2 linked regions of the Nothobranchius furzeri genome follow. Each later gene encodes a partner of the first gene's protein in a complex. Links are inferred from orthologs where the notes say so. Each region holds a gene or a part of one and is shown on either strand. Other genes may lie near its edges.

Evidence for each region.
Region 2: the proteins of cinp (region 1) and airim are in contact, whole or in part, in a cryo-EM structure (PDB 8RHN), measured with the Homo sapiens proteins. The link is inferred for Nothobranchius furzeri from reciprocal best matches to the Homo sapiens genes CINP and AIRIM. Residues at the interface, in NP_116019.1 of Homo sapiens: Leu161, Leu162, Thr165, Glu169, Asp177, Leu178, Leu180, Ser181, Tyr182, Ser184, Met185, His188, Pro190, Tyr191, Val192, Glu193, Ser194; in NP_001289959.1 of Homo sapiens: Leu107, Gln110, Ala113, Ala114, Asn116, Leu117, Phe119, Val122, Ala124, Leu125, Phe128, Pro129, Asp130, Leu131, Arg134, Leu135, Lys138, Gln139, Ala142.

Annotation. Positions count from the first base shown.
Region 1 is NC_091758.1:16,257,983-16,274,612, reverse strand, and holds cinp (cyclin-dependent kinase 2-interacting protein), read right to left. Parts: upstream 7,677-16,630; 5' UTR 7,549-7,676; coding exon 7,521-7,548; intron 6,417-7,520; coding exon 6,245-6,416; intron 6,014-6,244; coding exon 5,878-6,013; intron 5,648-5,877; coding exon 5,518-5,647; intron 5,071-5,517; coding exon 4,868-5,070; 3' UTR 4,375-4,867; downstream 1-4,374. Other genes in the region: znf839 (zinc finger protein 839), read left to right, coding at 495-615, 1,015-1,480; H/ACA ribonucleoprotein complex subunit DKC1, read left to right, coding at 8,258-8,273, 9,191-9,240, 9,320-9,406, 12,912-13,003, 13,074-13,258, 13,472-13,536, 13,608-13,734, 13,812-13,942 and 7 more. UniProt on the Homo sapiens protein: Component of the DNA replication complex, which interacts with two kinases, CDK2 and CDC7, thereby providing a functional and physical link between CDK2 and CDC7 during firing of the origins of replication.
Region 2 is NC_091759.1:26,713,693-26,729,388, forward strand, and holds airim (AFG2-interacting ribosome maturation factor), read left to right. Parts: upstream 1-8,262; 5' UTR 8,263-8,371; coding exon 8,372-8,628; intron 8,629-8,932; coding exon 8,933-9,106; intron 9,107-9,176; coding exon 9,177-9,295; intron 9,296-9,379; coding exon 9,380-9,420; 3' UTR 9,421-9,609; downstream 9,610-15,696. Other genes in the region: cdca8 (borealin), read right to left, coding at 2,831-2,917, 3,023-3,152, 5,145-5,243, 5,313-5,389, 5,457-5,515, 5,588-5,663, 6,304-6,344, 6,483-6,611 and 1 more; cldn35 (claudin-4), read right to left, coding at 9,820-10,503. UniProt on the Homo sapiens protein: Part of the 55LCC heterohexameric ATPase complex which is chromatin-associated and promotes replisome proteostasis to maintain replication fork progression and genome stability.

The sequences.
Region 1 (16,630 bases):
GACTCACGGACTAAAGCTGGGAGCTGGTTCCACAGGAGAGGAGCCTGATAACTAAAAGATCTGCCTCCCATCCTAATTTTAGATATTCTGGGAACCACCAGTAAAGAGTCTAGAACAGGGGTTCTCAGTCCTGGTCCTGTAGGGCTGGTATTCAGCATGTTTTAGTTGTTTCTCTGCTTCAGCAATCCAGATATAATCCGCAGGTGATCAACGGGCTTCTGCAGAGCCTGACGGGCTGCTGAACAGGTGGTTTAACCAGTCAATTGTGTGTCTTGGAGCAGAGAAACCACTAAAATGTGCTGGATACCGGCCCTTTAGAACCCCTGGTCTAGGACTTCTGTTTAGTTTCTGGGTCAACTTCTCAGACCACCAAACTGCAGATAACACAAAGACTAACTGAGAACAGATGAAAACAGTTTGTGACTAAACTGTATCAAGGAAACAAAAGCTGTAATTTAGTCAGTTTTCTATCATTTGCTGCTTTTGTGTTTTAGTCTCTGTGACATCAGCCACTCCAGGAAATGCTCCTCTGAAGCCCTGCTTGGTCTCCGTGTCTCCTCTGGTGATTCCAGGTGGATCTAAACTACTCACCACCTCCGCTGACCTCTCCTCCAGGTGAGCTGGCCCTACCCTGTGTGTGTTTGGGTTGTTCAGACCTGCTGCTAACGTGAAGAGCTACATGTGGCGACCCGTGTTAGCAGCAGGTGAGAGCTCCTACGTCTCACTGACTGCATTACAGAACAGGTCCATTGATCGGTTTATCTTCTGATTTGGCTAAAGGGAGATTCCACTGAACTCTGGTGGATCAGGGCCAAGTCTGGGCCGCCTATTGGGTACCACTGGTCTAGAGATTGTTTTCTAGTGTAAAATAATCCAGTCTAGCTTTGATTAGATGGGGTTCTTCTATGTCACTGACCCAGACTTGGAGCTAGACTCTGCTAACCCTGGTTAGGGACCTGTATGCTGGTCTGGTCTGACATACTGGGACCTGAATCTGTTTCTTCTGGTTTCCAGCCTCTCTGGTGCTCCCTCTGCTCCAGCCACCTCCAACCCGGTTCCAGTTCCTGTCGTCCCAACAGAGGTGCATAAAGAAGAGTTTATGGATGCGGTTCATGACGTCCCAGTCCAGATGACAGGGCTAGAGACGTCTCCTTGTTCCAGTTCTAAGACAAACACAGCAGAGTCAAGTTTAGGCCAGACCACTGGTTCTGTTGAGCAACAGCAAAGTGACTCTCCAGAATCTGGATCCAACACAACAGAACCTTCTGAGGCCAAAGAGCTGCAGGAGGGCCAGGAGATCTACATTGAGACTGAGCAGCTAACAGTCCAGCTGGCTGAACCAGGATCAGATGGGATTGTTATCGTCAACGGACCAGACGGGACAACCATGCACATCCAGACACCAGAGGGCGTCCCACTGGAGGCAGTCCAGGCCATGCTGGGCATCGAGACTTCAAATGGAGACAGACCTCCCCAGTAAACCGGCTCTAGGGGATCAGAACTGGACCAGCAGCAGGGTGTGGCCACATACCCACCTGTCAGTTTGTCTCCTCCAATCAGAACTCTAGAAACATCAAAGGGGGGGGGCTTTCCACCTGGAACTGGTTCTGTCTTGTGAGTTTGGACCAACATGTATGATGGCTCCCAACAGGTGTGAGTTGGCCCTGCCCACATTAATGTTCACATCTTTGGCATTCTTCATTAAATCTGGGTTGAGATATTCTGTTCCGCTGTCACAATATAAATATAAAACTTTGTATTATTATTTTTATTCAATGTTTTTCTTCTGCAAGTGAGTACAAATGGGAAAGGATCCTCAGAATCCCCCAAGTGGACTCTTTAGGTTTACTTCAACAGGATAAAACGGGAACCTGGATCACCTCCAGAGGACAGAAGCTCTTCCTGCTGCCTGACGGGCTCCAGTGAAAAATAAAAACAGATTTTTATCAGAAAACAAACACACGCACTTGTTGAGTTTTTAACAAACTGTTTGGATTTCTATAATCTTTTCAAGGCCAAGTGTTTTCTATTGAATCTATTATTTATTCACCCTTTCATCTGGTGGTGAACTACATGGTAGCCACAGGTGTCCTGGGCCCGGCTGCTACTTTCTCACCACCAGCACTTACACACAAGCACGGCAAGTTAGGTGTCCTGCTCAAGGACACAACGGCAGAGTAAGCTAGGTTTGTTTCTGTAAACTGACTGGGTTCCAACTGGACTCAGAACCTCCAGAAACGCCCCAGAGAAGCGCCGCTGTACAGAACCCGATCACGTTCTGATACCTGGTTCCTTTGTGTAATCGGATCAGAACACTGGCCCGTTTCAGCCGTGACCAGTGAGAGAACGGGGCTGTGTGAAATCAAACTGTCACGTGGGCCCAGCTCGTGTGGTGTGTTTACCTGTCAGCTGTGATGATGTCATCAGCAGCCTCTGCTTGTTTTTAAACATTTAGCTGGTTGTTTGTAAACTAGTTTTCATTGTTTCTACATATTTGAAACAAGGGGATGTTTGGCTGAATGTTTAAACATAGATGGATATAAAGTGTGAAAGTTGGATTATTTTAGTATTTTTGTTATAAAACTTGACTCTGGACATTGTTGGACTGCAGTTGGGTGAGCTGAAACGTCTAGGAGAAACTTTTATTTTGATAGTTCAGGCGCAGAAGCTTATTTCCTGTTCCAATAAATCCTGTCACAGTCTCCGTTTCAGCAACAACTGAATTCTTCCAAAAGGCATGATGTGTAAAAATATTTGTGGGTAAGATTTGGTCATTTGGGGCGTCATCTAAATGTACCACCTTCTTACCACTTCCTGTTTGTAAGTTCATCTTAAAATCCGTCAGCTTGACGGTTTCCTACGCCTACCCTGCATTAGCTTTGGATAAAACAAAAAAAGATGGTGAAATGCTAGGATTTGAAAATCCTTACACTGTGATGTCACACTATGAATTTGCATATTTTTTGCAGCGAGGGGAGAGAGCAGAGTGTGATGGTGACTTTGCAACATGGCTGAACGTGTTCTCTTAGCCTATCAGAAGTGAGGTGTGTACATATCATTAATAATGAGCAATCCTGGTGTTTTCAGCCCACCTCTGCATCTCACAACAGGAGCATCATAGCTTTTTTAAATTACTCGTGAGCAGTGTTGGGAGTAACGCGGTACAAAAGTAATTACTGTAATGCATTGCTTTTTGCTGTAATGTGGTAATGTAAGGCATTACAGGGAAAGAAAAGGGTAATATTTACTCGGTACAATTGTCAGTAACGCGGTAATTACAATGCATTTTCAAACCCAGAATCAGGATGTGGGTTTCCTAAAAATTAAAATTGCGGGTAGCCTGAAAAAAGATCCAGTATCCACATATATGACATCATTTATGGACTCAGCTTTAGGGCATTCTATGAGCAGAGAGGACGCAGCGGTAATGCCTCAAATACTCCAGCTGTGCAGTGCGCACGGCCGTTGTTAAATTCACAAAACCACTCCACCAAAACAAGGTCATTCGCTTGCGATCATTTATCAGCCGATATTCTCTGGTACTTCATGTAATTTTCAGCTGAGTTCATAATCTGTACCCCGGTGATTTCAACTCATTGCTGCTGGAGCGCAGCGCATATTAAGCTTTTTATTTTTTTGCTTTCGGTAGATCCCTTTGGCTGATTAGTTAGAAAGTAGGAAGTCTAGGAAACAGTTTTTCTGGAAGACGGAGAAAACATGCAGCATGCAGGAAGGTCAGAGAGAGAAAGGGCAGGAAATGATTCACATAAAACCAAGAAAACAAAACAAAAGTGCTTGAAAAGAAAAAAATGGCACATTTATCCCCAATACACATTTTTACCAGTGAAAAGCAATAATATATAAGCATTTAATATTTATACATGTGATAGAATCAGATCACCCCAGAAGTCAGTCCCACATCCAGGGCCGTATCAAGGCATTTGAGGACCAAGGCAAACATAGGCTTGGAGCCCCCACCACCTCACTCCCTGCTCAGATGGCCCTATAAGATGGCAGCGTGCTGAGAGTACAGATTGTTGTTGCTTTTATTTAATAAACAATCATTTTAAAGCACTGTTATTATATCTGACTGTTTTTAACAGCAACCCTAGCTCAGACACCACATCACCTTCCACATATATGTCATGAGCTCGCTGAACGTCACATTACCAGACTCATATTGAAGTTGTTTTGGTGAAAGTAACTTAAAGTAATGCAAAAGTAGTGTAATGCCGTACATTTTTAAATCAGTAATATTGTAATATAATGAATTACTTTAAAATGAAGGTAACAAGTAATAAATAATGCATTACAGTTTTGAAGTAACTTGCCCAACACTGCTCGTGAGGCATTGACTTACAGTAGAGAACACTGCAAATGTAAACCACAACTTAAAAAGGTTAAATGAAGAAAGGAGCAAAGCTTCAGGATAACCGCGCTCGTCTCAGACCAGTTTATTAGCGATCATCTAATGTTTCAGAGCTGCTCAGACCTCCAGTTGTTGCCCAGCTCTGACCTGCTGATGGTGCGGAACAAGCACGATATCTGATCACTTCAGAACTATCAGCCTTTGGTGGTGGTGCGTTCACTGACCACGACATGCTTCTGCTGCTTAACCGTTGTGCATTCAGGAACCATAACTAATCAGGTATGAGGAGTTCCAGGATGACCGGACCTGAGTCATGGCATTGGTGAAGACAGAAGCATTTGTTATGAGATGTTTTGCTGAACATGTGCAGGATTTCATACCCAGTTTCTGATTCCTGCTGCTCTTCTGTAGGACAATCATAAAAACTTCTCTAATGCAGGTCTACACCCTAACCATCGCTCCCACGGACCACAGGAGGGTTCACTACAGCAGGCCAGTCTAGAGTGGGCGATGGCCCGTCTCCAGCAGCAGAGCCTCTAGTCCAAGTCTGGTTGCTGCTGGGATGAAAGGCTGGTGGAGCCAACAGGACAGATAGACCTTGGAGAGGTCAGAGGTCATGGTGTGGGCGACTTCCTGCAGAATCGTCTGCTTCAACTTCAGCTCCTGACTGAAGGCAGCCAGCAGGACACCAGACATCTCCTCTGAAACAGCAGACAGACCATATTAAACTTATTGGTTCAGTGGATTCATCAAAGGTTGGAAGACAATTGAAGTTATTTTCTAATGTGTGTCCAGACATCTGCATCTCCACCGCCAAAGGAACCTGCTGCTCTCATTCCAGAGGACCACCGGGAACACCAACTCCTCCACAAGGAGTGGAGACGTGGGTGATGACTGAACAGGAGGTCTTTGTTATCATCAGAGTTCTAGTTAGTGGATCACTCATCAGAACGTCTGAGGTCACAGCATGAAAGCATGCGTTTGTGATGGTAGCAGCATCAGATTGTTGCCATAGAGACAACTGGACCACCTCATAATCAGCATATACTCCTCCTGCTCAGTTTATGATGCCAGGTGTTGGTAGTTTTCCCCGTGGAAGCAGAACCCCGTCCAGGTGACGTCAGCGTGTTAGCTTCAGGTGGACCTACCAAACTCCCGGGTCTTCCAGCTGAGACACAGAGGGACACGTCTTCCTTCAGGACCAAACTGAAACTCCTCCAGCTGCAGAACGCCACGCTGTATCTCCACCAGGTGCTCCATCTTTTTCACCACAACAACCTGAGCAGAAGAAACACGTGGCTGGAGTGAACCAGGGTTACGTACTGAAAACTAAATGAGCAGAAGTCATTTATTTGACGTGAGATTGAATTAAACGGTCCCAGACCAACCGCAGCTTTCCACACACAGCAGCTGTTTATCAGGTTAGAAAAACTATTTTATTCTGAGACTCAACATATAAACTCCTGATTTATGGAACCGTGCCAGATGAAGGTTAAATGAAGCATCACCATTCTGTCAACGACATCCTGCAGTTTGAGGCATTCATCCTGCAGCTCCGCAGCTCCAGCCACCTGCTGCGCCTCAGCCGATGTGGACTGTGACGGTGGTGGACACGTGTCCAACACCAGCAGATCTCCCTGAGAACTGAAGACATAAACATCACCACAGCTGATGATCCCTCTGATTTATGAGTCTTTAAAAACCGACCGCTTAGAGCTTAATGTAGACAAACGAGTAAAGCTCCGTCTTATGATTGCTCTAAAGAAAACGAGTTATCTCCACCCTTACTCATCTGGATCCCAGAGGGTATCTAGTGTGTGTGTGTGGGGGGGGGGGGGCTAACTTAGAGAAAAATAACCTAAATAACAAACTCACTGCCTCATGTTGACGATACTTGCTGCCAAATTGAATCCTTCGTCGTTCAGCCTGTCCCACCTGAGCATCAGGTTGTGCCAGTCAGCGGCGTTGTCTCTGATCTTCCTTGCACTTCCTGTGATCCAGGTGCACCTCCTGTTTGATGGGGTCGCTGAGGTGTCACAAGAATCACCTAGAAACCGTGAATTTGTGTTATTTCTCCTTTCATGCAGTGAAACGGAGCACACACACACACACACAGAAATGATTTGTTTGTCATACAAAGATCTGCTAAACTAGCTTGGGTAGACAGGTTTGTCCCCCTTAAAGAGACATTTGTCCTTTTGGTTTAACTTCACTTCACATCAGCCATCATCTGACCCGTTTGAGGAGTCATGCTGCAGCTGGTTGGGCCAAACTGAACCTGGACCACAGAAACATTAGCTGTCAGATGAGCTCACAAAGGTCAGGGGTATTAAAGGCCACGGCTCATAGACCGTCTCCAGGCAGCTTCATGGTCCTGGGACCTCAGCTGACAATTTTAATAAAGTAGGAGGTTGATGGGAATGTGGGCAACCACTAAGAACGTGGATCCGAGATGAGATCCACTCTCAGGTTGATCAGAAGGAAGAATCAGACAAACAATGCATCCAGGACTGTTGAAGCCTTTCTGATCCCACCATGAGGGGTTGAAGACCCAGGAGGATTCCTGGTGACAGAAAAACCCAAAAGAACAGACTAGAGATCACCAAAAACCACACTGACGAGCTTCAGGGAGAGCATCATTTTGATTGATGAGATGGAAATCGGCTCTAGAAACACTGTAGAAGATGGAGGAAGATCAGTTCTGTTCTGGACTCACTGCACCTGGACCAAGGATTCCTGAAAAGGTTCAGGGTCCAATCCCAGGACCACCAAGACCCTCTGGAGCCAAATCTACTGTCCAGAGTCTATCATCAGAAAACACAGCTAGGAACACCGAGAATGGATCAGAACCAAGCACTGGACTGTTCTGAACTGATCTAGATGCTGTTGAACATCTGTGATAAGAGCAGAAACATCTGGAGAAAGAACACCTGGAGCAGTGTGGCCACGAGTAATGGGACAGAATACCTGCGGACAGGAACGATCTAAATAAGTTGTCCTAGTGAATGTTGATGAGGCAGCTGGGTTCTGCAGGGTTTCATTTACAACCCTGCAGTAAAACATCCACACGTCATCAGAATGTTTTAACCCGGAAGCTGCAGGTTATTCAGACCTGAACAAAAACTACTTCACTAATCAAGAAGATCCTCACCTTCCATCTGATCCTGAAGTTCTCGCATAAAATCCAGCTGAATTATGCTGAGTCTTCTTCTTCTTCGACGTTTGTGGGTGGTAGCAGTGCAGCATTACTGCCCCCACCTGGCCTGGAGTGGACACACGTTTATCAAACAATAAAAAAGGAAGTATTTTTATTGGATCTGCAGCTGTGGACACTCAAATTCCACTACGCGGAGATAGTGGGATTTTGGGGTTAACTGTAAACACTGATCCGTCCCGTCTGCCGTCCGGGTGGACACTGAGGTATTTATGTTCCTCCGCCACCTCCACCTTCTCTCCCAGGATGGAACAAGCATTTAGCATGTTCCCGTTTCTTCTAAAATCCGCAGTCATCTCATGTTTTTTCCGTTTTTTAACACACTATTGCACTAGAGGCCCACCAGTGATCTGTGTCTCACTACTTAATGACAGACTTATCTGACTCCAAATATCACTGGCCTTTTTTAGTGTTTATTTCCCCCCAGGATGCTAGTTAATTAAAGAAGAGCATTAGAACCACCGAAAGAAAAGTCAGAATTATTTTTCACATTTATTTTTTTCCATTTTATATTTAATTATGTAAAAATTGTATTTAAATAGCAAATTCATTTATTTATTTACCTCATTTGGTTTCATTTCTGCTCTGTGACCAGTTGGTGGCGGTAGTGCACCAAGTACTTTCGTGCCAGCCGCCATAAAACATCAAGCAGAAGAAGAATCTTTCATTAGAAGATGGCGGACGAAGCTGGTGAGTGTCGAGCACGTTTTGTAAGCGACAGTCTGTGTTTAATTTATTGCTAAGTTTGAACATAATTCTGCTGAGTCAGGGATTTTATTAACAACACGTCCACGTGCACGTACAAGCGTGTTTTACGCAGAAGGAATCGCAGTAAAAAAAATTCCTAAGTTGGTCTATGAGGAGGTTTGGCAGCGTCTGAGCCAGTTAAAACAAACAAATCCCTCCACGTGTCCAACATGCTTTAGTAGTTGGGTTTAATTCAATAACAGAACTAAGGGTTTGCTCTGTGGACTCGTGTTTTCTTCATAAGCTCCAGCAGCGTTTAGTGTAGTTAACTTTGAGAGAGCGGGTTCTCGGTCAGTGGCCTGTTAGCTCCGCTAGCAGCCACGTGCGCTCCACCACGTGCTGCAGCTGCAGGCCACGTGGGCTCTATATCATTCATTTACAGTTTTCCAAATTTACCAAACTGCAACAGGGATTTAAATTTCTGTTCCTTCAGATAAAATACTTTCTTTCGGTCGTACTTTTTCCACTGAAAGGCCCTTTTGGGCTCAGAGTTGCACTGGAGCAGGGCCCATCTCCAGGGCCACCATGCTGCACGTGCTGCAGGTTTGCTGCTCCTGCACACATGAAGGTAATCGCCTGGATAAACCTGTTGAACACTCTTTTAAAAAGCAGGTGTAGTATGGTCCCTGGAGTTAGTGACCTTTAACCTGAGGTTACCTGGGACCAGTAACCTGTTATAATGCAATGTTCAGTTCCCGGTGGGCATGAAGACTCGTCTAGAATATTGGTGAACACTTGAGCAGTCTGGCTAGTGACAAAACACCACTTAGGGCCCGGTAGATTGTTGTTCTCTGAGAAAATCCTGGAATTCTGATTTTAGGAAGGATTTATGCTACTTTAGTTTGGTTTTTATTTTGCAGCATCCACAAAGAAGAAGAAGAAGTCGAAGAGAGTGGCTGAAGATGTTGGGGTTGGTGTGAATTTATTCAACTTAAGATCTATTTGGAGATTCTCTTCCTGTTGAACAAACTGATGTTTTTATTCAACAGGAGATCCAAGAGAGTCAAGAGTTTTTAATCCAGCCAGACACCAAAGTCCCCACTTTGGACTCCTCCCAGTGGCCCTTGTTATTAAAGGTCAGGAACCCCTCCTCCTGTTTGTGCCTGCTGACATGTTTGACCCTGGTCATGTGATATGATGAACTGGTTTATCCATTCTCTGAGTGCTGTGGGCCTGTTGTGGTCTTTGCTTCTGCTCCGTTCTGGATCAGAGCTTCTCCTGCGGCTGCTAGAGGGGTCTCGGCGTTCTGCCTGACCACGACCAGTAGCCGTCTGGGGAATGACCCCACTTGACCACAGCCAAGACGACCTCCTATTCTGATCACATTGACTCTGTGCTATAAAGCATTTGTTATCTGCTCTGTTTAGTGACATGTTTGTGGTTTCATCTGGTGTAATGAGTTGACTCGACTAGAACCCTGTTGGAATCGGCTCTAGCTGTCAGACAAGCGTTTCCCCTGGGAATTTTTCCGGTGGTGGTGCTGGGGGGAGAATGATTGACAAGTCTCACCTTTATGTTAATATTAAAAACCCTTCTACACCCCTGCTTAGTAGACTTAATGAAGTATTTTTAAGCCAGTATAAAAATGACTGAAACAAAAATTTACATATTTGGCATTATTGACCCATATCTTTGATTTAATTTGTGTTAAGAACATCAAGATGCATTACAGTGAACATTATAATAAAGTAAATTTTTCTAGTGCAGAGAGGAGACAACCCATAGAAGCACTGATTTGATCTCATTTCAGAGAAAAATAGAACAGGTTAGATGCACCTAATAAATAAAATTACTAACAAACTCAGGAATCTGTTTCTTTGCTTCATTGTTCTGGTGCTGAAAATATCACTAATGCGGATCAAAGGAGATACACAGATGAATGCACCTCTTATTTATTATTTGTAAATTAGTGGGTGTGGTTTACATCAATGCATTATTTTAAATCTGAAATTGGATTGATCAGAAGTTGATATGTGTATTGTTTATCTGAAAACTATTTACAGAGCAGCCTCAGAACTGAGATTAAATATTTTTGATCACAATAGTAAAGAAACCATTACAGAACAAGTTTTTCAGTAAAATCAGAACATTAATGTTTAAGTGCATGAATAAATGCATCTGAACTCATGCAGTAGGAACTAGGAAATATGAAATACTAGAATTTATTTTAATTTGATTAAACTGATTTTTTCCTCACATTGTTGGCATTTTTCCCACACACGGTTAAACAAAACTATGTTGACTGAGGTGTGTGTGTGTGAGTGAGAGAGTTAAAATAAATACATTAAAAAAAAAACCTGAGCGGAGGCAGTGACCGACGCATGCACAAGCCGTTTTCAGCTCTGTCTTGTCTAGAGCTGAAACAACTAATCGATTATAATCGATTATTAAAATAGTTAACAACCTTTTTAGTCATCGATTAGTTGTTTAATAATCATATTTTACCGCATAAAGTCTATTTTTTACCACAATCTGACATCGGTTACAAGCTGTTAAATTTGCCGCCAGTGTGTGGCAGTAATGAGCCACTGATCTACCAGTGGAGCCGTAGAAGAAGAAATGAGCCAATGAGTGCCCTCGGTTTTCATGACGTATCACGTTACTGACGCTCATCTTGCTGTGAGAGATGGCGGAACAAGAGGAAATACGGAAGAAAATAGAAGCGACAAAACTTTAGAGAAACCCCGGACAAAAACCTCACGAGTATGGGAGCACTTCAGTCTAGATGCCTTGAAAAGGCAAAATATGCAAAAACCATCTAGCATGGCACGGAAGCACGACGTCCCTAAGTGAACATTTGAGACGAAAACGTGGGGGCTGAGGAAGAGCACCGCGGTCAAGTGAGCCGTCATTTGGAAGAGCCAGCCCGGTAAGTAACAGAAAATAAACAAGCTGGACTTAGTGTTTTAGCTGAGTTCGTTATAGTGGATGTTAAACATGTTTTTTTGTCGCGTCAGTCTACGGTGTTCTACTTCTGATTGACTAGATGCAATCGTGAATCTCCTCCGTGTTGTGAATCATGCGCTTGCCAAATTCAGCACGTCTGTTTATAAGAATGTTCTAGTTAAGAGAAAAACGGCACAAACCCATAACTATGTTCCTCATTCAAAAAAGGACAACTCTGCGGTGAAAAATATACAGACGAGCTGTGTCCAGGTGAATATAACGCGGCATAGTTGTACGCTTTCAATTTTTAAATACAGGAGAAATTCAGAAAAAGTCATTTTTTTACTATTAAAAGGCTGTTTTACTGTCTAACGCTGTAAAACGCCTCACAACACATTTTTATCATGTTTCTTAAACAGTATTACACAAAATAAACATTTTTCACATTTTTCTAGCTAATTTAAACACTCCCGACTCAAAGTAAAAACCTCATGAGCTTCTTACTTAGAGCTTTTTAATAGTAAAAAAATTAGACTTTTTTTCTTAATATCTCCTGTTGCGGCCTATTTTGTAGAACGTAACCCTCAAAATAAATGATCACTGTATATTGTTAATTAATACAAATAATTTAACATTGATTTAGTGTTGTAGTGTGTGTGCTGCTTTATTTTATATGTGTACTTATTTCAGTCTATTTGTGTTTCTTATGCAGAAAAAAACAAGCAACGATGGACAACTACATGGGGAACAAGACACTCACCCCCCAGCAATTCATACCACTTACAAACTCTATTCTAAACATGCTGGTAAAAGACATGAGGCCACTATCCATGGTGGAAGGAGCAGGCTTCCAGCTAATGCTAAAAAATTATTCTGGACTGATATTTTGCACTGTTTAGCTCATTTTATACTGCTGACTGTGTTCATGTGCAATAAAATAGATTGCAGTCAACTGCACAATTCTCTTATGTTTTTTTTTTCTTAACTGAAATGCATCCATCACTTGTATAGGTTAAATAGCTAAACAGTAACAAACCGATTAATCGAAAAAATAATCGACAGATTAATCGATTATGAAAATAATCGTTAGTTGCAGCCCTAGTCTTGTCAAATGCACCGCGTACGTTATGAAAAAAGTTACTTTAAATATTCAACCGAAAAAGAGGCGAGCTGAAGAAAACCTAGAGTGCACTGAAGAAAGGTGAGCAACAGTGAAGCAATCAGAGAGATCCGTTACTGTGTGTGGATGGGCCGGACGGACTGAGCTCCCTGCAGACTTATGTGTAGGGAGGGGCGGGCACTCTATGTGAATGGCCAATCACAGAGCATGAAGACAGTCAGTTACCCAATGAGGATTTTCCTTCAGCACACTTAGATATTTACGAGTTTAATGCTCGTATTCGTCAAAAATGCTTTATCCGTACCGGATACTCGTCTGAAATGAGTATCCGGCTCATCCCTAGCTGTAACCTCCCTGCCCTGCCACCTCCTCCTTGCTGCCTGTCGGCTGTGATCACAAGCAACGGAGTAGTTCCCGCTGCTTCTTCGGGAAACGGCGCAAAAAAAAAAAATTTAACTTGGGATCTTGTAGGCGTGGCGCTGGGATTTCAGCTGTGGCAAGCCGCCACAGCTACACCTATGTAAGGGAAACTCTGCAGACCCACTAGCTGAGGTGGTTTGTTTTGCTTCTTGCAGAATCTCCATAAGCTGAACATCCTTACATCTCATTACACCCCCATACCCAGTGGCAGCAACCCGCTGAAAAGAAACATCAGCGACTATGTCAGGTACTTTCACTAGATCACAGCTCTGACTGAGCTCTATCTACAGTGGTGACCATGCATCTCCTCTCATCAGGTCTGGATTCATCAACCTGGACAAACCAGCCAACCCTTCGTCTCATGAGGTGGTGGCGTGGATCCGGAGGATCCTGCGAGTGGAGAAGACGGGCCACAGCGGGACTCTAGACCCAAAGGTCACTGGCTGCCTCATCGTCTGCATTGACCGAGCCACCAGACTAGTGAAGTCCCAGCAGAGTGCTGGTGAGTGCCCAATGCATTAACCCCAAAAGCTTTAAGAAGTGGGCAAACATTTATTAGCTAATGTACATGCTGTGTGCATGTCAGTAGCCACTGGTGGACTCAAATCTTTTGAATATGTGGCCTACATCCAACAGGAAGTCATCCATTTAGGGTCAAAGATGCCATTTGCAACTTGTTGGTTGTATAAAAACAAAAAGCTTCTGTGTGTTACAGGTAAGGAGTATGTGGGAATCGTTCGGCTGCACAACGCAGTAGAGAGTGAACACGTGCTGGCCCGGGTAAGTCACACCCTGTATTTGCTGCCTTTCCTCTGACCTGACCAGCTGATGGTCCTGAATGTCCTCTGCAGGCCCTGGAGACCTTGACCGGAGCTCTATTCCAGCGTCCTCCCCTCATCGCTGCAGTGAAACGTCAGCTGAGAGTCCGAACCATCTACGAGAGCAAGCTGATCGAGTACGACCCAGAGCGGAGGCTGGGTGAGACACTCATTTTGACGCCGAGGTCATGAAGTTTGATGCTCTTCTGCTTTAAATCATGTTTTTCTTCTGAACAGGCATCTTCTGGGTCAGCTGTGAAGCAGGAACTTACATCAGGACTTTGTGTGTCCACCTGGGACTTTTACTTGGAGTTGGAGGACAGATGCAGGAATTGAGGAGGGTCCGGTCTGGAGTTCTGGGCGAGAAGGTCAGTGTGTGTCCACGTGCATCTTGCTGTTGTGATGGTTTATTGTATCACAGCTGGTTAAGTGATCGCAGTAGGAACCACGTTCAGTTCTCTAGTCCAAAGTGTTGAGTCCAGCTCTGCTGCTTAGTGCCGAGCTGTTAATTAGACTTTGGAAGAGTAAGCGCAGCGGAGCAACGATGGGCGTGCATGTCCGCCTGTTGAGACTCGGTGCTGCTAACATAACATCTGCTTTCAGGACAACTTGGTGACGATGCACGATGTTCTCGATGCTCAGTGGCAATTTGATCACAATAAAGATGAGACTTATCTGAGGAGAGTCATCTTCCCTCTAGAAAAGCTGCTGGTGTCATACAAACGGCTGATGATGAAGGACAGCGCGGTGAGTCTTCCTCTAGTCGGGGACAGCGTGTGACCGTCTGTGAACGGAGAACAATGCAGTGTGGGTTAAATCTGTCGGAGTGAACTCATGAGTGCCTCTACAGGTGAACGCCATCTGTTACGGTGCCAAGATCATGCTTCCTGGTGTCCTCCGGTACGAAGACGGCATAGAGGTTAACCAGGACATCGTTGTCATAACAACCAAAGGCGAGGCCATCTGTACAGGTGAGTCTGTTGTGGCGTGCTGATTTTGGTGTGAAGCCACATGATGAGTTGAGTAGATGCAGCAGCTTTCGGGCAGTGATGACCTGCTATCTATCACCCTTTTCTGATGGCCTCCAGAAGACCTCACTAAACTCTAGAAGGGGTTAAAATCACATTAACCACATCCTCCTCCTCCTCTAGCGGTAGCACTGATGACCACAGCAGTGATCTCCACCTGTGATCACGGCGTCGTGGCGAAGATCAAGAGGGTGATCATGGAGAGAGACACGTATCCACGGAAATGGGGTCTGGGTCCAAAGGTGGGTGTCGTGTTATGATAGTAAATGTACAAATCTGATTTTTTTTTTAATCTGCCAATAAACAAAAATAATTCCAATAACTTTGTAAATAAAATTTGAGTAGAAGAAACTGTTATTTATTTTTAATCAGGCATGTAAGAAGAAGATGATGATCAAACAAGGACTCCTAGACAAACACGGAAAGCCAAACGCCCAAACTCCTCAGGACTGGAAAGACGACTACGCAGACTACAGGTAGTGCTGCTGTGGGCGGGGCTTCGGCTGCAGACGGTTATCCCTTTTTGAGCTGGTGTGCCCTCTGAGGGAGTAAGTCTGCTAGAGAAACTCTCGTGTTGGAGCGCCTGTACTCAGCATGTACTGTCTGCTGACGGCGCCGCTCAACAGAGTACAGAGTCGTCATGAGCTGCGACGATGTCAATACATCAAACAGTGACTGACATTTTGTTTTATTTTTTGACAGTGTTACTGTTAAGGAAGAACCAAAAGACACCCCTGCTAAGGTAATACTGTCACATAGTGCTACCCCACTGGTGGTGATGGTGAAAACTGACCTACAGTGACCTCTGACTTGTAGAGAAAACGGGAGGCTACAGAGTGTGACAGTGAAACCCCGGAGACTCCTTCTGCAGAGGTAAAGAAAGAAAAGAAGAAAAAGAAAAAAGCAGAAATGGAGGAGGAGCCAGAAGTGAAGGAGGAGGAGCCAGAAGTGGCGGAGGAACCTGACACACAGGTGATTGAGCGTTTCCTGCATTCTCGTTCAACTTTTAGGTTCCTGGTGAATAATAAACTTAAGTGATGGCTTTTCTTCTGCAGGTTGAAAGAAAATCAAAAAAGAAAAAGAAAAAACTAAAGGAAGCCGATGCGTCGGAGTAAATCACTCGCTCCAAACACTTGTAACCATTTCCATCCTCTAAAGTTGACCTCAGCGAATCCCAGTGAAGAGCATCTTTGGCTAAATGGAACGTCCCCATCACTGCAAATCATCTGATCGATAAAAGCTGCAGCAGTAGAATGTGTTTGGGAAACCATGATAATGCAACTTTAAAAAAAAAATACCTTCTGAAGCAGCGTTGCCTCGTTTTAAAATGGCTTCTGATTCTGTAAGTGCTGCTAGACAGCAGGAGAAATGGGGTCGAAAGTAATAAGTTTGTAGATTTGGTTTTCAGCCTTCTGGTGTTTGGCATGGAGGCAGAAAGCATGCTCACTTGTAAATATCTAACTTTTTTATTTCAAAATAAATGTATTCTGTGTATAAAACGGGGATTAAAGTTCTCTCATTTCTAAGGTTTGGATGTCTGTGAACATTACAGAATATTCAGATTGGTGTAAAGAACATATTAACAGGTCATGATCTAAAGCTGTTCAAAGGTATAAAACTGCCCTGGGCCTAAAGCCCTGCAGATATATTTAGTTTCTATAAATACCAACAAATAAAAGCAGCTGGATTCTACTTTGTTCCTTAAATTGAGTCACGTTCCTGTAGCTCACACGTTCAACAGGGAGCTCTGCCAGCTGATTGGTTCTTTAACAGGGAGCTCTGCCAGCTGATTGGTTCTTTAACAGGGAGCTCTGCCAGCTGATTGGTTCTTTTGGTAACTACTGTAGTTCTGGTACTTACCTGCTGATGCATCCATCCTGCTATCGCTGTAGTCTGTTCACAATGGTTTAAACGTTAACACATGAACATGTTTAGATTATCATACATAGCTACGAGTCTGTTACTCTACTTCCCCCCCCCCAAAATGCACCAAATTGATGCGTTAAAATATAAAATGTCCAGTAATTT
Region 2 (15,696 bases), on another chromosome or scaffold:
GTCTAACCTGTGTCCGTAGCAGCACGTCATTACAGAAGCTAATCAAGCCGCTAAGATACCTTTCAGCTTCAGCAGTGTGTGTGTGTGTCTGTGTGTGCCTGTGCGTGAGTGTGTGTGCATGCATGTGTGTGTCTGTGCATGTGTGTGTGTGTGCATGTGTGAGTGTGTGTGCATGCATGTGTGTGTCTGTGCATGCGTGTGTGTGTCTGTGCGTGCCTGTGCGTGTGTGTGTATGCACACATGTGTGTCTGTGCATGCGTGCGCGCGTGTGTGTCTGTGCGTATATGTGCGCGTGTGTGTGAGTGTCTGTGCGTGCATGTGCGTGTGTGTGCGAGTGTCTGCGTGGGTGTGTGTGTGTCTGTGCATGCGTGTGTGTGCACGCGAGTGTCTGTGCACGCGCGTGCGTGTGTGTGTGTGTGTGTGTGTGTCTGTGCGTGCGTGTGTGTCTGTGCATGCGTGCGTGTGTGTGTGTGTGTGTCTGTGCATGCCTGTACGTGCGTGCATGTGTGTGTGTGAGTGTCTGTGCATGCTGTGTGTGCCTGTGCATGCGTGTGTGTGTGTGTGTGTCTGTGCATGCCTGTACGTGCGTGTGTGTGTGTGTGTGTCTGTGCATGCCTGTGCGTGCGTGTGTGTGTGTGTGTCTGTGCATGCCTGTGCGTGTGTGTGTGTGTGTGTCTGTGCATGCCTGTACGTGCGTGCATGTGTGTGTGTGAGTGTCTGTGCATGCTGTGTGTGTCTGTGCATGCCTGTGCGTGCGTGTGCCCGTGCGTGCGTGTGTGTGTGCACGCATGTGTGTGTGCGTGTGTCTGTGCGTGTGTGTGTATCTGTGCATGCCTGTGCGTGTGTGTGTATCTGTGTGTGTGTGCATGAGTGTGTGCGTGAGTGTGTGCATGCCTGTGTGTGTCCGTGCGTGTGTGTGCATGCCTGTGTGTGAGTGTCTGTGCGTGCGTGTGTGTGTGTCTGTGCATGCATGCGTGTGCAAGCGAGTGTCTGTGCACGCGCGTGCGTGCATGTGTGTGTGTGTGTGTGTGTCTGTCTGTGCGTGTGTGTGTCTGTTTGTGCGTGTGTGTCTGTGCATGCGTGCGTGTGTGTGTGTGTCTGTGCATGCGTGTGTGTGTGTGTGTGTGTGTCTGTGCATGCCTGTACGTGCGTGCATGTGTGTGTGTGAGTGTCTGTGCATGCTGTGTGTGTCTGTGCATGCCTGTGCGTGCGTGTGCCCGTGCGTGCGTGTGTGTGTGCACGCATGTGTGTGTGCGTGTGTCTGTGCGTGTGTGTGTATCTGTGCATGCCTGTGCATGTGTGTGTGTCTGTGTGTGTGTGCATGAGTGTGTGCGTGAGTGTGTGCATGCCTGTGTGTGTCCGTGCGTGTGTGTGCATGCGTGTGTGAGTGTCTGTGCGTGCGTGTGTGTGTGTGTGTGTGCATGCGTGTGTGCGTGTCTGTGCGTGCGTGCCTGTGCGTGCGTGTGTGCGTGTCTGTGCGTGCGTGTGTGTGTGTGTGTGTCCGTGCGTGTCTGTGCATGCCTGTGCGTGTGTGTGTGCATGAGTGTGTGCGTGAGTGTGTGCGTGAGTGTGTGCGTGTCTGTGCATGCCTGTGTGTGTGTGCATGAGTGTGTGCGTGTGTGTGCATGAGTGTGTGCGTGTGTGTGCATGAGTGTGTGCGTGTGTGTGCATGAGTGTGTGCGTGTCTGTGCATGCCTGTGCGTGTGTGTGTGTGTCTGTGTGTGTGTGCATGAGTGTGTGCGTGTGTGTGCATGAGTGTGTGCGTGTCTGTGCATGCCTGTGTGTGTGTCCGTGCGTGTGTGTGCATGCGTGTGTGCGTGTCTGTGCGTGTGTGTCCGTGCGTGCCCGTGAGTGTGTGCGTGCACGTGAGTGTGTCTGTGCATGCCTGTGCGTGTGTGTGTGTCTGTGTGTGTCCGTGCCCGTGAGTGTGTGCGTGCACGTGAGTGCATGCCTGTGCGAGCGTGTGTCCGTCTGTGTGCCCGTGAGTGTGTGCGTGTGAGTGCGTGCGTGCGTGTGTGTGTGTGAGTGTGTGCGTGTGAGTGTGTGTGCGTGCGTGTCTGTGTGTGCGTGCGTGTGAGTGTGTGTGTGTGAGTGAATGTGTGTGTCCGTGCCCGTGAGTGTGTGCGTGTGAGTGCATGCCTGTGCGAGCGTGTCCGTCTGTGTGCCCGTGAGTGTGTCCGTCTGTGTGCCCGTGAGTGTGTGTGTGCGTGCGTGTCTGTGTGCGTGTGTGTGAGTGAATGTGTGCGTGTGAGTGTGTGAGTGAATGTGTGCGTGTGAGTGTGGACAGAACATCTGGTGTGTTAGAGTGAACTACAAATCCTTCAGGAGGAAAGAACCATGAATCTGGTCATGTGGTGAATAGCAGCTATGCTGGGGGAGGGGCTTCTGTGGTGATGTCACATATGCAGCGTGCTGATTTCTGCTGTAGCCATGCTACTTATGAACTTTACCAGCTGATGAATCTCACAGGACCGGGCAGGTGTGGTAGAAACAGCAGCATAGTAGAAGTACAGCACGAGTGTTCCAGCATCTGAGGCAGAGCGGGTTAGAAGTACCCTTCAGCCCGGTTCAGCCCGGTTAAGGGACCGGAGCTCACCAGAACGGGAGGAGACGAGGCTCTCCACAGCAGCGGTGTCATCATGGCCGCTACGTTACGGCCCTGGTGGTGAGCAACACTCCAGATTCATGCTCAGGTCTGCAGCCTGACGTGTCCTCTGAAGGGACGAGGACACGCTCCTCTAACAGGATGCTGTGATTTGATTGGCTGCAGCACCTAGCTGCCCCGCCCCATGGGTCCAGATGTTTCACTCTGGAACAGCTGATCATTCACCTGCAGATGTCGAATGCTTCTCAGAGCCGTCTCGTCCAGCAGGGACAGGTCCACCGAGTCCATCTGACTGGCCAGCAGCTGCAGGTTCTGTAGCACAGATCACAAGTCCGTCACGGACACATCCTCCAGTCCGAGTCACACAAACACCAAGTGTTTCAGTTCAACAACTCCAACAGGTCCGCTCACGCTCACCTCTCCGTTCCCCACAGGAACGCTGATGACGATGTCCTGACTTCCCGCTGCGATGGGAGACCCGTTGACGGAGATGCTGTAGACTTTCTCTTTGTGACGAGGAACTCTCACCACGGGAGTTTTAGGAAGTCTGAGGAGACAAAGTACGAATGCTGACTGGGACACATTCAACAGGACCGAGGGACTCGGATGCAGGTTCCAATTCCCGGTCTCCTGATTGGGTCGGTCTGGATCCAACGCCAGATCCACACGGACCACAGAGCTCATCTCTTTATACGGCGTTATCGCGTGAACTCGGATTTGGTGTTCTGGCCGGAGTGGATATCTGGAGACGCTCAGCCAAACGACAACGGTGCCTCCGGAACCAGACCGCACCCGTTCTGTAGTTGGTGTGAATCAGGCACCGGGCCGGAGGTACTAACGCAGAACGACAGCAGCGTCCACACCTCACCCTCTCATTAAAGGGATGAAACCCTGAAAAACCACGTTTTAATGGTTCTGTCTGATTCTAACGGGTCACTCTGATGCAGGCTGAACGTGAAAATAGACGACGGTTAGCAGCTGAGCTTTACCACAGGTGCTCGCTAGGTAAGCTCAGGATGGGAAACGTCAAGCAGGTCTGAAAAACTGTTAGAAAAAGCGACACAGCTCAAAACTCAGAGCGTAATCGTACCCGCAGCCATGTGAGCAGCGGCAGGGTTGGCTGGACTACAAATGAGGAGGTGTTTAGATGTTGTGGGCTTGCAGGCACAGCTGTGGCACCTTCCTCCTAAAGAGGAAGAGGAGCGCATCCGTTTTAGCACCGTGGAATCTCCACGGATCAGGAGCGAATGTGCTTGTTTCTGACACAGGGGTGACATCACGCAGGGGTGACATCATCCAGGGGTGACATCACGCAGGGGTGACATCATCCAGGGGTGACATCACGCAGGGGTGACATCACGCAGGGGTGACATCACGCAGGGGTGACATCATCCAGGGGTGACATCATCCAGGGGTGACATCACCCAGGGGTGACATCACGCAGGGGTGACATCGCGCAGGGGTGACATCATCCAGGGGTGACATCATCCAGGGGTGACATCACGCAGGGGTGACATCATCCAGGGGTGACATCACGCAGGGGTGACATCACGCAGGGGTGACATCATCCAGGGGTGACATCACCCAGGGGTGACATCACGCAGGGGTGACATCATCCAGGGGTGGCATCACGCAGGGGTGGCATCACGCAGGAGTGACATCATCCAGGGGTGACATCATCCAGGGGTGACATCACGCAGGGGTGACATCATCCAGGGGTGACATCACCCAGGGGTGACATCATCCAGGGGTGACATCACCCAGGGTGACATCATCCAGGGGTGACATCACACAGGGGTGACATCATCCAGGGGTGACATCATCCAGGGGTGACATCACCCAGGGGTGACCTTTGCAACACCCAAAAGTCGTGGGGTCATTTGAACGTGTTTTCTTGTACCGATCTAATTACCGTTTAGGAACCGGTATCAAGTGAAAACTATTCAATAGTCAACACTAGACAACGCCTTGGCTAGCATAAGCTAACCATTAGCATTAGCAAATCCACCACACAGCAGAACTCCTCCAGCCTTGTGTTATTGGAGGAGATAAAATATCAACGATGCAGAGTAGTCAGTGTTGGAGTCGTGTTGTTGTTAGCCAATCAGAGCGGAGATGTCCACATATCAGGAAGTAAGACTCCAGATCCCGCCCTCCGAAGCTCAGCTCTGATCTGGCTCGCTGCTTGTTTCTAGAAATGGTGCACCAGTGTTTTCAGTCCCCTGAGAACGACCTACAAGTCATTCATTCCTACTAGAGACCACCGCAGCTTAAACGAGCGTTCCACACCTTTAACCGAGTGCGCTGGTTCTGGTTTAACTGGTGGAACCAGAACCAGAACCAGGGCACAGTAAAAGCTTCTATGGACCAAAACAATCAGAGGTTCTGACCAGCCGATCACAGATGGAACTGATCACATGGCTCTCATTACACTGATTGGCAGAATGAAAAGGTTTTATTTTGAAAGTCGAGCTGTCTCCCTTTTTTCTCTGGGGAGAGGCGTTTAAGGACCGCCCCTCGGAGGCCAGGTGAGGCTTACCTGGGGTCGAAGCGTGGGGTGATGAGAGGAGTCTGTCCCATCATTAGGGAGGAGTCCAGCACGGATCTGGCAGGAGTGACCATCGGCTTCCTGTTGGAGCTGCACACACTCACAGTCAGAGCCAACACACCTGAGGGGGCGGAGCTTCAGCTAAGGAAACACACTCACTGTCTGACGACGGCGCTCTGTTTGCTGACCGCCTTGGATCGTTTTGATGAGGACGGGGGCTTCTTGCTTGTTCTCCCCTAAAATAAAAAGCCTATGAAACAAGCAGAGCGATGCATTCTGGGTAAAAACCAGAAAATCAGAAACCTTCTTTGAGGTCAGCAGGTTTTCATCTTCTGAGGAGGCTCCACCTTTCTTCTTCACCGCTGCAAGTCAGAAGGGACAGGAACAGCTCAACTTTGTTCCTTCAACAGAACCTTACGCCGACACAAACCTACTCTTCTGGATGGATTTCAGGACGGAGTGGTCGTCGGCAACGACGCTCTCGCAGATCGCATCCTCCTCTTCTCTCTGCTTAAACACAAATAAAGCAGGAAGTCAGCAGTGTCCAGGCCTCCAGAACCGCCATCCGGCAGCTTCTAGAGGTCCCTCTGCTCCAACACGCCTGCTTGTATTCAGCAGGTGGTTCACCAGCAACCATGAAGGGTGAGTTGAAGCAGAGAAACAACACGCTGGATAGGATCCCTGGAGGAGCTGGGCCCTCGTTTATCAGCCGTACTTAGAACAGATCTGTGCGTGGAACGTTTGTACTCCTGTTCCTAATCACAAGAACAGCGGTGACCATGCGTAGGAGCAGCATCTAGAGGTGGAGCGGGGAACGGCTGTTAGATAACTGGAGCTAAAACCAATAATGGACGCGTGTGACCGACGGGAATCTGATGTGCCATCATGGCGGATCGGTTACTCCCTAACCCAACAGACACGAGCACCTGGGTACGGAACGTGCGTGCGAGACGCCACCGCACGTTTCTTAAATCAGGTCTTTGACCGTTCGCTCTAACGTTCTAAGTTTCCGTCACAGGCAGGAACAGAAGACGCTTGATCAGTGAGGGCCCTGGTGTAGATTCATTCATCCAGGATGGCTTGAGACTGGACTAGAGGACAACCCTCTTCACAAGCAGAAGAAAACTCTGGCGGTGACGGGGGAACTCACCTTTGTGTCGCTGACTTCTGGGGTTTTGGGTTTTTCAGCACCTGTACAGAAACCGGAAGTAAAAGACGGGAATGCTCCTCCTGGGTGTCTCTGGTGACAGTCAGTCTGAGAAGAAGCTCAGAGTGCTGGTTCTGACCCGCTTCATGGTGAGCTCAGCGGTGTGTGTGAGGAGGACTTACTGCAGTGCTCCAACCAGACGGCCTGTCGCTCAGCTTTGGATAGTTTGATCAGAGCCATGTCGTAGCGGTTGTCCACGTCCTTCAGCAGGCCTTCCAACTGCCCCTGCAGCTGGTCCACCCTGGTTTTCACTGCGCGCGCGCGCGCACACACACACACACACACACACACACACACACAAACTCTTTTCACTTCCTCGTCCCATAAAGTCAGTTATTCTGCTTGAAGTTAAAACTTTTTTTTAATCCTTCAAAACAACAAATTCCAGCGTTTGAGTGACTTGAAGCCCAGTAAGAGTCTGCTAGTAACGGGTTCTGGTTAACTCGGGTTAGCGCTCACTAACCCAGACCCTTTAGAGAGTGTCTGCTAGCATCTGAGTTCTTAGGCTAATTCTGCACCTTCGCTGTCGTAGTCGTGCAGAAAAGCTTCGATCTTCGCGACCTTCGGGTTGTTCTTCTGCTGCCTGGTGGTTCTCTTCCGTGGAGCCATGTCAGCGCGGAGTGGAAGGATTTAGTCCAGAGAGTCTGAAACCGTTTCACAGAAGATAAGCTTTAGCTAAAAGAGCAGGCACGAGGACGTTATCCGCTGACTGCGCTAGCTAGTTATTTAGCATCAGGGCTTCGCGCGGATTTTTCTACCGACCATTTATTCACACATCTTATAAAATTGATAAAACATCACTTTAATCCGATTTATCAGCCTTAAATTAGAGAAAAGTCACCTGCGTTTCTTTTGCCGCTTACTTCTTCCTACTAGACGTTTTAAAATTCTGCGCTGGGACACGTCAGCCAATGAGGACGTACGTTTTTACTGCGTCACAACACTGAGGCGTTTACCAGCGCTTGGCAAACGTGCATTACTGCCATCACGTGGCTTGGGGTGTAGTAACAGTCACGTTATTAGGGTACTCGGTGACAACAGCCATATGTACATAAATGTTTATGTGTTGTATTTATGTTTATTATATAAACATAAATGTTTATATATACATATCTATGGCAACAGCTGTCTCTGTGGCTCGCGCTGCACGCAGAGCTCTGACGGAAACTTTGTTTCACCAACAAACGTTCCGTTCTTCCTCGTTGTGAGTTTCTATTGGATCAATATCTTTATGAATTGGTCCTTGATCGGGACTTAAAGAACAGCTAAATATGAATAGGTGTGTGTAGGTTTTGACTTACGTGTTATAAACAGGAAGATTGTTACTGAATGATTAATGTGTTCATTCTATCATTTTCTTTTACAAGAACAAAGTTTACTGAAGCTCATTCTTTCATTTCAGTAGTTTTATTCCGTTTGTAAAACTGAACATTGTTAAATGTAAAGGGTGGAAAATAAACGCTGTGGTCTTTAACGTGTTTAAGCGCCATTAAAACTGTGTTTATTATTTATTAACAGGGTGTACGTTATGTTCCGACACGCACTGCTGTCTTCATGGATAAATAAAAACATTCCTAACTACTGGATCTTTTCCATGCTACGTTCACTGACAACGTATAAAGTAGGAATTTCCTACACTTGTTACATAAAACATACTTTTGAACTGTAGCCGTAACTTTGCTGAATTCCGTGTTTGTCAAATGACGTAATCCTGTCTTTAGACTATATAAAACATTAAAATTGCATCATTTAGAATTACTGCCGACTACAAATGAATCACAGGACTAGAGTTTAGATCACCCTAACGACTGCACCCCCCACACGTGTTGTTTATATGGTCAACGGTGATGGAGTTGAAATGGAGCTCGAGTGAGAGCTCGGACTTCTGAGGTGCCCTGAACGCATCATAAGTCATTGTTTACATCCGGAGACCGGAAGCGGGCTCTAGACGTGAGCTGCCGCGTGGAGACGTGCGTGAAGTAGGAACGGGTTCGAGCAGGAGAACCGGAGCATGTCCGAGCCGCTGCAGGAGGCGCTGAGGAGGAGCTTCGTGAGTCTGGAGAAGCAGCGGGAGGTCTGGAGGAGCGTGTTGGAGGAGTGCAGCCCGCTCATGGAGGCTCTGGGGAACCTGGCGGAGCAGATGAGCGCGCTGACCCGCGTCCAGCTGCTCGACACGCCGCTCCGAGTCTTCCCGCAGCTGGAGGAGCTGCTGCGGGTCAAGCTGCTGCAGGCTGCGGACACGGTGCTCCAGAGGCTCGGTGAGAACATGTGAGTCAGAGCCCTCAGAACCACGCTGGCGGGAAATAAACGTACGTCAGCGTTAGTTATTGTCATCAATAATCGGAGCTTCGGGGTGATACTGACATCTAGTGGTCAGAAGTAGAACAACACCCGTTCCAGGGTTATGATGGAGCGCATGCGCGTTGGCTATCCATCTTAGCTGGACGTTATAACTATGATCCACTTACTTTTTAATTGTTTCTCCCATTTTATTCTCATCTTTTTAGTTATTTATTGTGAAGCAGCTCGTGACCCATCTTCTGACGGTCCATGTGTTGTGTTCCTCCTCCAGGTGCCGTCTGCAGTCCATCAGAGATTCCATCAGTAGCCAGGCCTCTGCTCTCCTGCAGCAGTACCAGCAGAGTTCTGTGGACCTGACGATGCTGACGGAGCGCTCGGCCACCGTCCCGTCTCTGGCCGACATGCTGCAGTGGATCCAGGACGCTGAGCGCTTCTACAGGCAGCAGTATCCTTCCTGTGGGCCTCCTGGCATTCCCGTTATCCTGCTGTTGTCGTTTCCCTGAACTCATCTTCAGATTCCTACAGAGGAAAGCTCTGCTGCAGACGCTGAGGCCGGACCAACTCCTTCTGCTGGAATCTGCTCCCAAAAGGTGGAAATCTCTGGAGTCTCCGAGTGCCGATCAACAGATCACAGGTGAGTCGTGACACGTGGACCAGAGCCCACCCCCATGTTCAGGTCTCCCAACGGTCCGATTTGCTGGATTTTGTCTCTTTTCAGATTCACTCTGCAGACTCTCTCTCTTCATCCAGCCTCAGTGAGCTAGCGAGGGTTCGCTGACCCGACCCGACCCGACCCGAGGACACAAGACGCTTCCAGCTCTTAATGTCAAACGCTTTTATTTGAAAACCAGAAGTTTGTGTGAAGATCTGGAGAGATTACAGCCTGCACCGCACACGCTAACAAGCTAGCACGCCAAATAGTTCAGTCTCTGTCACACACACACACACTCACACACACACACACACACACTCACACACACACACACACACACACACACACACACTCTCACACACACTCTCACACACACTCTCACACACACACACACACACACACACTCTCACACACACACACACACACACTCACACACTCACACACACAGTCCTGTGTGTAAATAAATAAATAAATAAAGGGTCACTCTGTTAGTGGTACCCCCCCCCCTAGACGTACTCCTTCAGAGGGACGTTGTTGGAGATGATGGGTTTCGGTGGTTCCGGTGCGGGCGAGTTGGCGAAACTCCGGCCGACGTAGCCGCGACGGTACCGGCCGCCCCGCTCCATCAGCGGACAGGTGCTGCTCAGCACGGCGCCGCTGATCATCAGGATGACGGCGGCGGCCCAGCCCAGGTAGATGGCCTGACCCAGCTCCCGCTTGTGCATGACGGGAACGTTGGGGTTGTAGAAGTCCTGGACCACCGTGTTGGCGGTCCAGGAGACCGGGATCAGAACACACAGGCCGGTGACGATGAAGAGAATTCCTCCTGCCAGCGCGATTCCCGCTTTGGCCCGGCGGTCGTCTCCGGCGCAGGTGGTGCACTTCATTCCGCAGCAGGACACGGTGCAGGACAGCCAGCCCATGAAGATGGCGAGGCACATGAGGGCGCGAGCGGCCTGGATGTCCGGCGGCAGCGCCAACATGGAGTCGTAGGTCTTACACTGCATGTGACCCGTGGTCTGGTAGATGCAGTTCATCCAGATGCCCTCCCACTTCATCTCCGACGTCAGGATGTTGCTGCCGATGAAAGCCGACACCTTCCACTGAGGCAGCGCCGTGACGGCGATCGCCATGATCCAGCCCGTCACCGCGCACGTGAAGCTGATCAGCTGCATCCCCGTGTTCACCATGGCGACGGCTGCTGGCGGGAGGCTCTGTGCGTCGGCTCGGGTTCTCTGATCCCCCTTCTCTTTCCTTTGATCGGAATGTCAGAAAGCCTTCAGCCTCGTCCTCCTCCTCATCAGCATCTGCTCCGAGTTCCTCCGGTCCCCAGGTCCCTTTGGGCCCTTGGACTTGGTTTGTCCCCAGTCAGAGGCTCCAAGGGTATGGCTGTCCTCTGCTCGGCCCCTCGTCTCTGGATCACCAACACGAAGACTTTCTCTGTCTTTTGTTCTCGACGAGGACCTGATGCATTATTCAGCAGCGGCGCTGTGACCTTTGACCCCGGCGCGGTCAACGGATCCGATCAGAGTGGGCTGCTTGTCCGAGTCCAGTTCAGACTCGGTGCCGTGTCCTGGGCCGGTGACCTTACGGAGACCTGATATACAAAGCTCTGGTGCTACCTGGATCGGCTCTGACTCTGGAAAGAAACCCGTCCAGAACCAGCGAGCTGCTTCAGAACCTGATCAGCTGTTTTGATGATCGGTCGGTTTAAATGTCTCCAGCTGAAGTGTCTCCTCCCAGGTGTCCACTTCAGCCCCTCCCCCAGCGACCGGCCCAAATGGGTCAGTCCGATTCTCAGAAGGTCTGAAAGAACAGGCTGGTGCGGCTCGACCCGCAGGTTCTGCTGTCAAACCAGATAGGGAGAACTGGACAGGTGTGTGTAGGGGGGGGGGGGGGGGGCTTTGCTCACAGCAGAACCGTTCACAGATCAGCTGATAAACACACTGAGCGCGCTCAGAACGGATCAATCCCTCAGCTCTGAGCGCGCTCAGTAGCACCATGAATTAAATATTACAACATCAATACCAGCTGCTCGGGTTTCTTCTGTCTGGTGACACGATCTCCACGGTAACGGTCGTCATGACAGCTCGACAGGAAACAGGAAGTGGCTGAGATGATCATCCTCAGACATCCAGTTCAATTTAAATCAAATCCTGATTCTGGGAGTGAAACCTTCCGTAGGGAAGGCCGGACGGTCCTGGGTTGGAAATGATGCATTCATGGGCCCAGAGAGAAAATCGGAGCTCTGGAGGTCAGGTGACTGCCACAGATTCATCTAATCCTGTTGATTAACAGCTGGTTTCTTTTGTTTCCAAACTTTTGCTGAAATCATTTTTCTTTTGTTTGAAGGATAAAAGATTTGTTTGTTTTTCTCACATTTAGAGATTTTAAAAAAATTCAGCTGTTTTAGTTTTAAATAAATGAAACTGCCAAAAACATGTTTGATGCTTTTATCTGAAACGAATAACGATGTTCCAAATCCGCCTAGTCTTTCAGGTCAGCTGACCTGTAAGATCAGCTGACCTGTAAGGGCCATCAGCTGACCTGTAAGATCAGCTGACCTGTAAGGGCCATCAGCTGACCTGTAAGATCAGCTGACCTGTAAGGGCGATCAGCTGACCTGTAAAGGCGATCAGCTGACCTGTAAGATCAGCTGACCTGTAAGGGCGATCAGCTGACCTGTAAAGGCGATCAGCTGACCTGTAAAGGCGATCAGCTGACCTGTAAGATCAGCTGACCTGTAAGGGCGATCAGCTGACCTGCAAAGGCGATCAGCTGACCTGCAAAGGCGATCAGCTGACCTGTAAAGGCGATCAGCTGACCTGTAAGATCAGCTGACCTGTAAAGGCCATCAGCTGACCTGTAAGATCAGCTGACCTGTAAGGGCGATCAGCTGACCTGTAAGGGCGATCAGCTGATTGGTCACGGGACAAACAGGACAGCAGCTTTATGGGCATAAAATACGATTTATTACTTTGCACATTAACACAAGATTTCCCTGCAGGCTAAAAAAAAATCTGAACATGTCACATAATAATAGCAAATTCATGACCCTCTGCTGGGTGGGCGGGGCTAAATCAGGCCCTGCCTTCTTACAACCAATCACAGAACAGAACTGTTCTGGTCCAACCGCTTTAGCTTAACCCCCAACAGGAACCAAAGAGGTAAAAACAAAAATGAAATACACAAAATTACAAATCCATCAATATAACAAGATATCAAAGTGAGGAATTCCAAAATAATCCGTGCTCTCCGTGGAGCCGAACCCATCAGGGAGCTTCAAAAGGTTAAAAAGAGGTAATCCTGCTCCTCCGGTGCCGCCGGGACCCGTCAAACACAAATGCTTCTGAGGGGTCAGGAGGCGTGGCCACAGGTGTGTACGTGTGACCACGCCCCCTCACAACTCACCACAGAGGGAAGGGGTAGCTCTTCTAACGGGTCCACATTTGAACAAAGTACCTCGTTTGGATCGGAACCGATGTTGAGAACCCCCCCCCCCCAGAAACAAGCAGATGATCGACGGGAGCCTTAACGCCAGACGGACAGGTATTGCTAGACTAAATCAGTCCCACTAACCCAGAAACGTTTACCCCAAAAGTTTATATTTTATTCTCATAATAAATATGATTGAAAAAGATCGATATTAAAAGGACGAAACTTCGGCATGCAGGCGAGCAAAGTCTACATGTGGTAGAGGAACCGGTCTACAGCCGACCGACTAGTCCGCCCAACACGTCCCGCTGGCGGGTGCCAAAGTAAAACCAACCAAAGACCAAAGGAACCAGAGAAGTAATGCTAGCTGGGTTCGCCACAGCTGATCCATCGGGGCCGTATTGCTTTGTGACTTTACGAACAGTCATGGATTATCTGCCTGGAGGTCAGTGATGTTCGACCCTTTCAAAATAAGACGCTGACCTGACCTTTTCAAGGTAAAACGCCCTGCGTGCAGTCATTTCCTGTCGGCGCTGGAGGCCAGCGTGCACGCCTTCAACGGGAAGAAGCTCAAACTCATTCATAGTAAACCTGCTGCTTTACGGATGGTTTATTACAAAAGGGCTTTCACCGAGCCGCCGCCCGAGGAGGCGTGCACGCCGCCCGTCCCCTCCCATCCTGTCCTGCAGCATCCACTTACACCAGCAGGGGGCTCTAACCCAGTGGCGGCATGGCCAGCGCTTATTGGGTGCAGTGTTACCATAGAAACCAAATCATAAAAGGGATGTGATGATAGGTCGATTTGACACATAAACCCAGATTGCGAACCCATAACTCGGTCCACAAGTCCTGATTGTCTCCAGCGATCCGATCGGAAGCTGCTTCCTGCTACACAAAACCCTCAGAGGAGGCGTGGCTCCTCCTGCTCCTCCTCCTGTTACCCAGAATGCTACAAATAAAAACAAACCCACCCGAGGCTCCGCCCCTTCAACCCCTTCCTGAAGACTAATCGCGAGCTGTAGAGGAGGTTCCGCTGCTCGCCATAAAATTCATCACGATAAACAACATCAAAGGTAAACGACTAACCCTAAGCAACAGCGTCAAGAGAACCACCAAACCAATTATACTGAACATGTACGAGTCTGCTTTCTGAAGGAATCCATGGACAAACAGATCCACAGAGCCCAGCTGACTAAATCCCAGGTCAGTGCAGTGACTCCAGACCCAACGAGTCGGCCTGAAGGAGGTCTAGAACCAACAAGTCAGTCTGAGGGAGGTCTAGAACCAACAAGTCAAGTCAGAAGGAGGTCCAGACCCAACGAGTCGGCCTGAAGGAGGTCTAGAACCAACAAGTCAGTCTGAGGGAGGTCTAGAACCAACAAGTCAGTCTGAGGGAGGTCTAGAACCAACAAGTCAAGACAGAAGGAGGTCCAGACCCAACGAGTCGTCCTGAAGGAGGTCTAGAACCAACAAGTCAGTCTGAGGGAGGTCTAGAACCAACAAGTCAGTCTGAGGGAGGTCTAGAACCAACAAGTCAAGACAGAAGGAGGTCCAGACCCAACGAGTCAGTCTGAAGGAGGTCTAGAACCAACAAGTCAAGTCCGAAGGAGGTCCAGACCCAACGAGTCAGTCTGAAGGAGGTCTAGAACCAACGAGTCAAGTCCGAAGGAGGTCTAGACCCAACGAGTCGGCCTGAAGGAGGTCCAGAACCCAAGAATCGGCCTGAAGGAGGTCCAGACCCAACGAGTTGGCCTGAAGGAGGTCCAGAGCCAACGAGTCAAGTCAGGAGGAGGTCCAGACCCAACTAGTTAGCCCAAAGCAGGTCCAGACCCAACGAGTTGGCCTGAAGGAGATCCACAACCAACACGTCGGGCCGAAGGAGGTACAGAACCAACGAGATGGTCTGAAAGAGGTCTATAACCAACAAATCAAGTCAGAAGGAGGTCCAGACACAACAAGTCAGTCTGATGGTCTAGAACCAACGAGTCGGTCTGAAGGAGGTCTAGAACCAACGAATCAAGTCCGAAGGAGGTCTAGAACCAACAAGTCAAGTTCGAAGGGGGTCCAGACGCAACGAGTCGGTCTGAAGATGGTCCAGACCCAACAAGTCAGTCTGAAGGAGGTCCAGACCCAACAAGTCAGTCTGAAGGAGGTCTAGAACCAACAAGTCAGTCTGAAGGAGGTCTAGAACCAACAAGTCAAGTTCGAAGGGGGTCCAGACGCAACGAGTCGGTCTGAAGATGGTCCAGACCCAACAAGTCAGTCCGAAGGAGGTCTAGAACCAACAAGTCAAGTTCGAAGGGGGTCCAGACGCAACGAGTCGGTCTGAAGATGGTCCAGACCCAACAAGTCAGTCTGAAGGAGGTCCAGACCCAACAAGTCAGTCTGAAGGAGGTCTAGAACCAACAAGTCAGTCTGAAGGAGGTCTAGAACCAACAAGTCAAGTTCGAAGGGGGTCCAGACGCAACGAGTCGGTCTGAAGATGGTCCAGACCCAACAAGTCAGTCTGAAGGAGGTCTAGAACCAACGAGTCAGTCTGAAGGAGGTCTAGAACCAACGAGTCAGTCTGAAGGAGGTCTTGAACCAACAAGTCGGTCTGAAGGAGGTCTAGAACCAACGAGTCAGTCTGAAGGAGGTCTAGAACCAACGAGTCGGTCTGAAGGAGGTCCAGACCCAACAAGTCAGTCTGAAGGAGGTCTAGAACCAACAAGTCAGTCTGAAGGAGGTTAGAACCAACAAGTCAGTCTGAAGTAGGTCTAGAACCAACGAGTCGGTCTGAAGGAGGTCCAGACCCAACAAGTCAGTCTGAAGGAGGTCTAGAACCAACAAGTCAGTCTGAAGGAGGTTAGAACTAACAAGTCAGTCTGAAGTAGGTCTAGAACCAACGAGTCAGTCTGAAGGAGGTCCAGAACCAACGAGTCGGTCTGAAGGAGGTCCAGACCCAACAA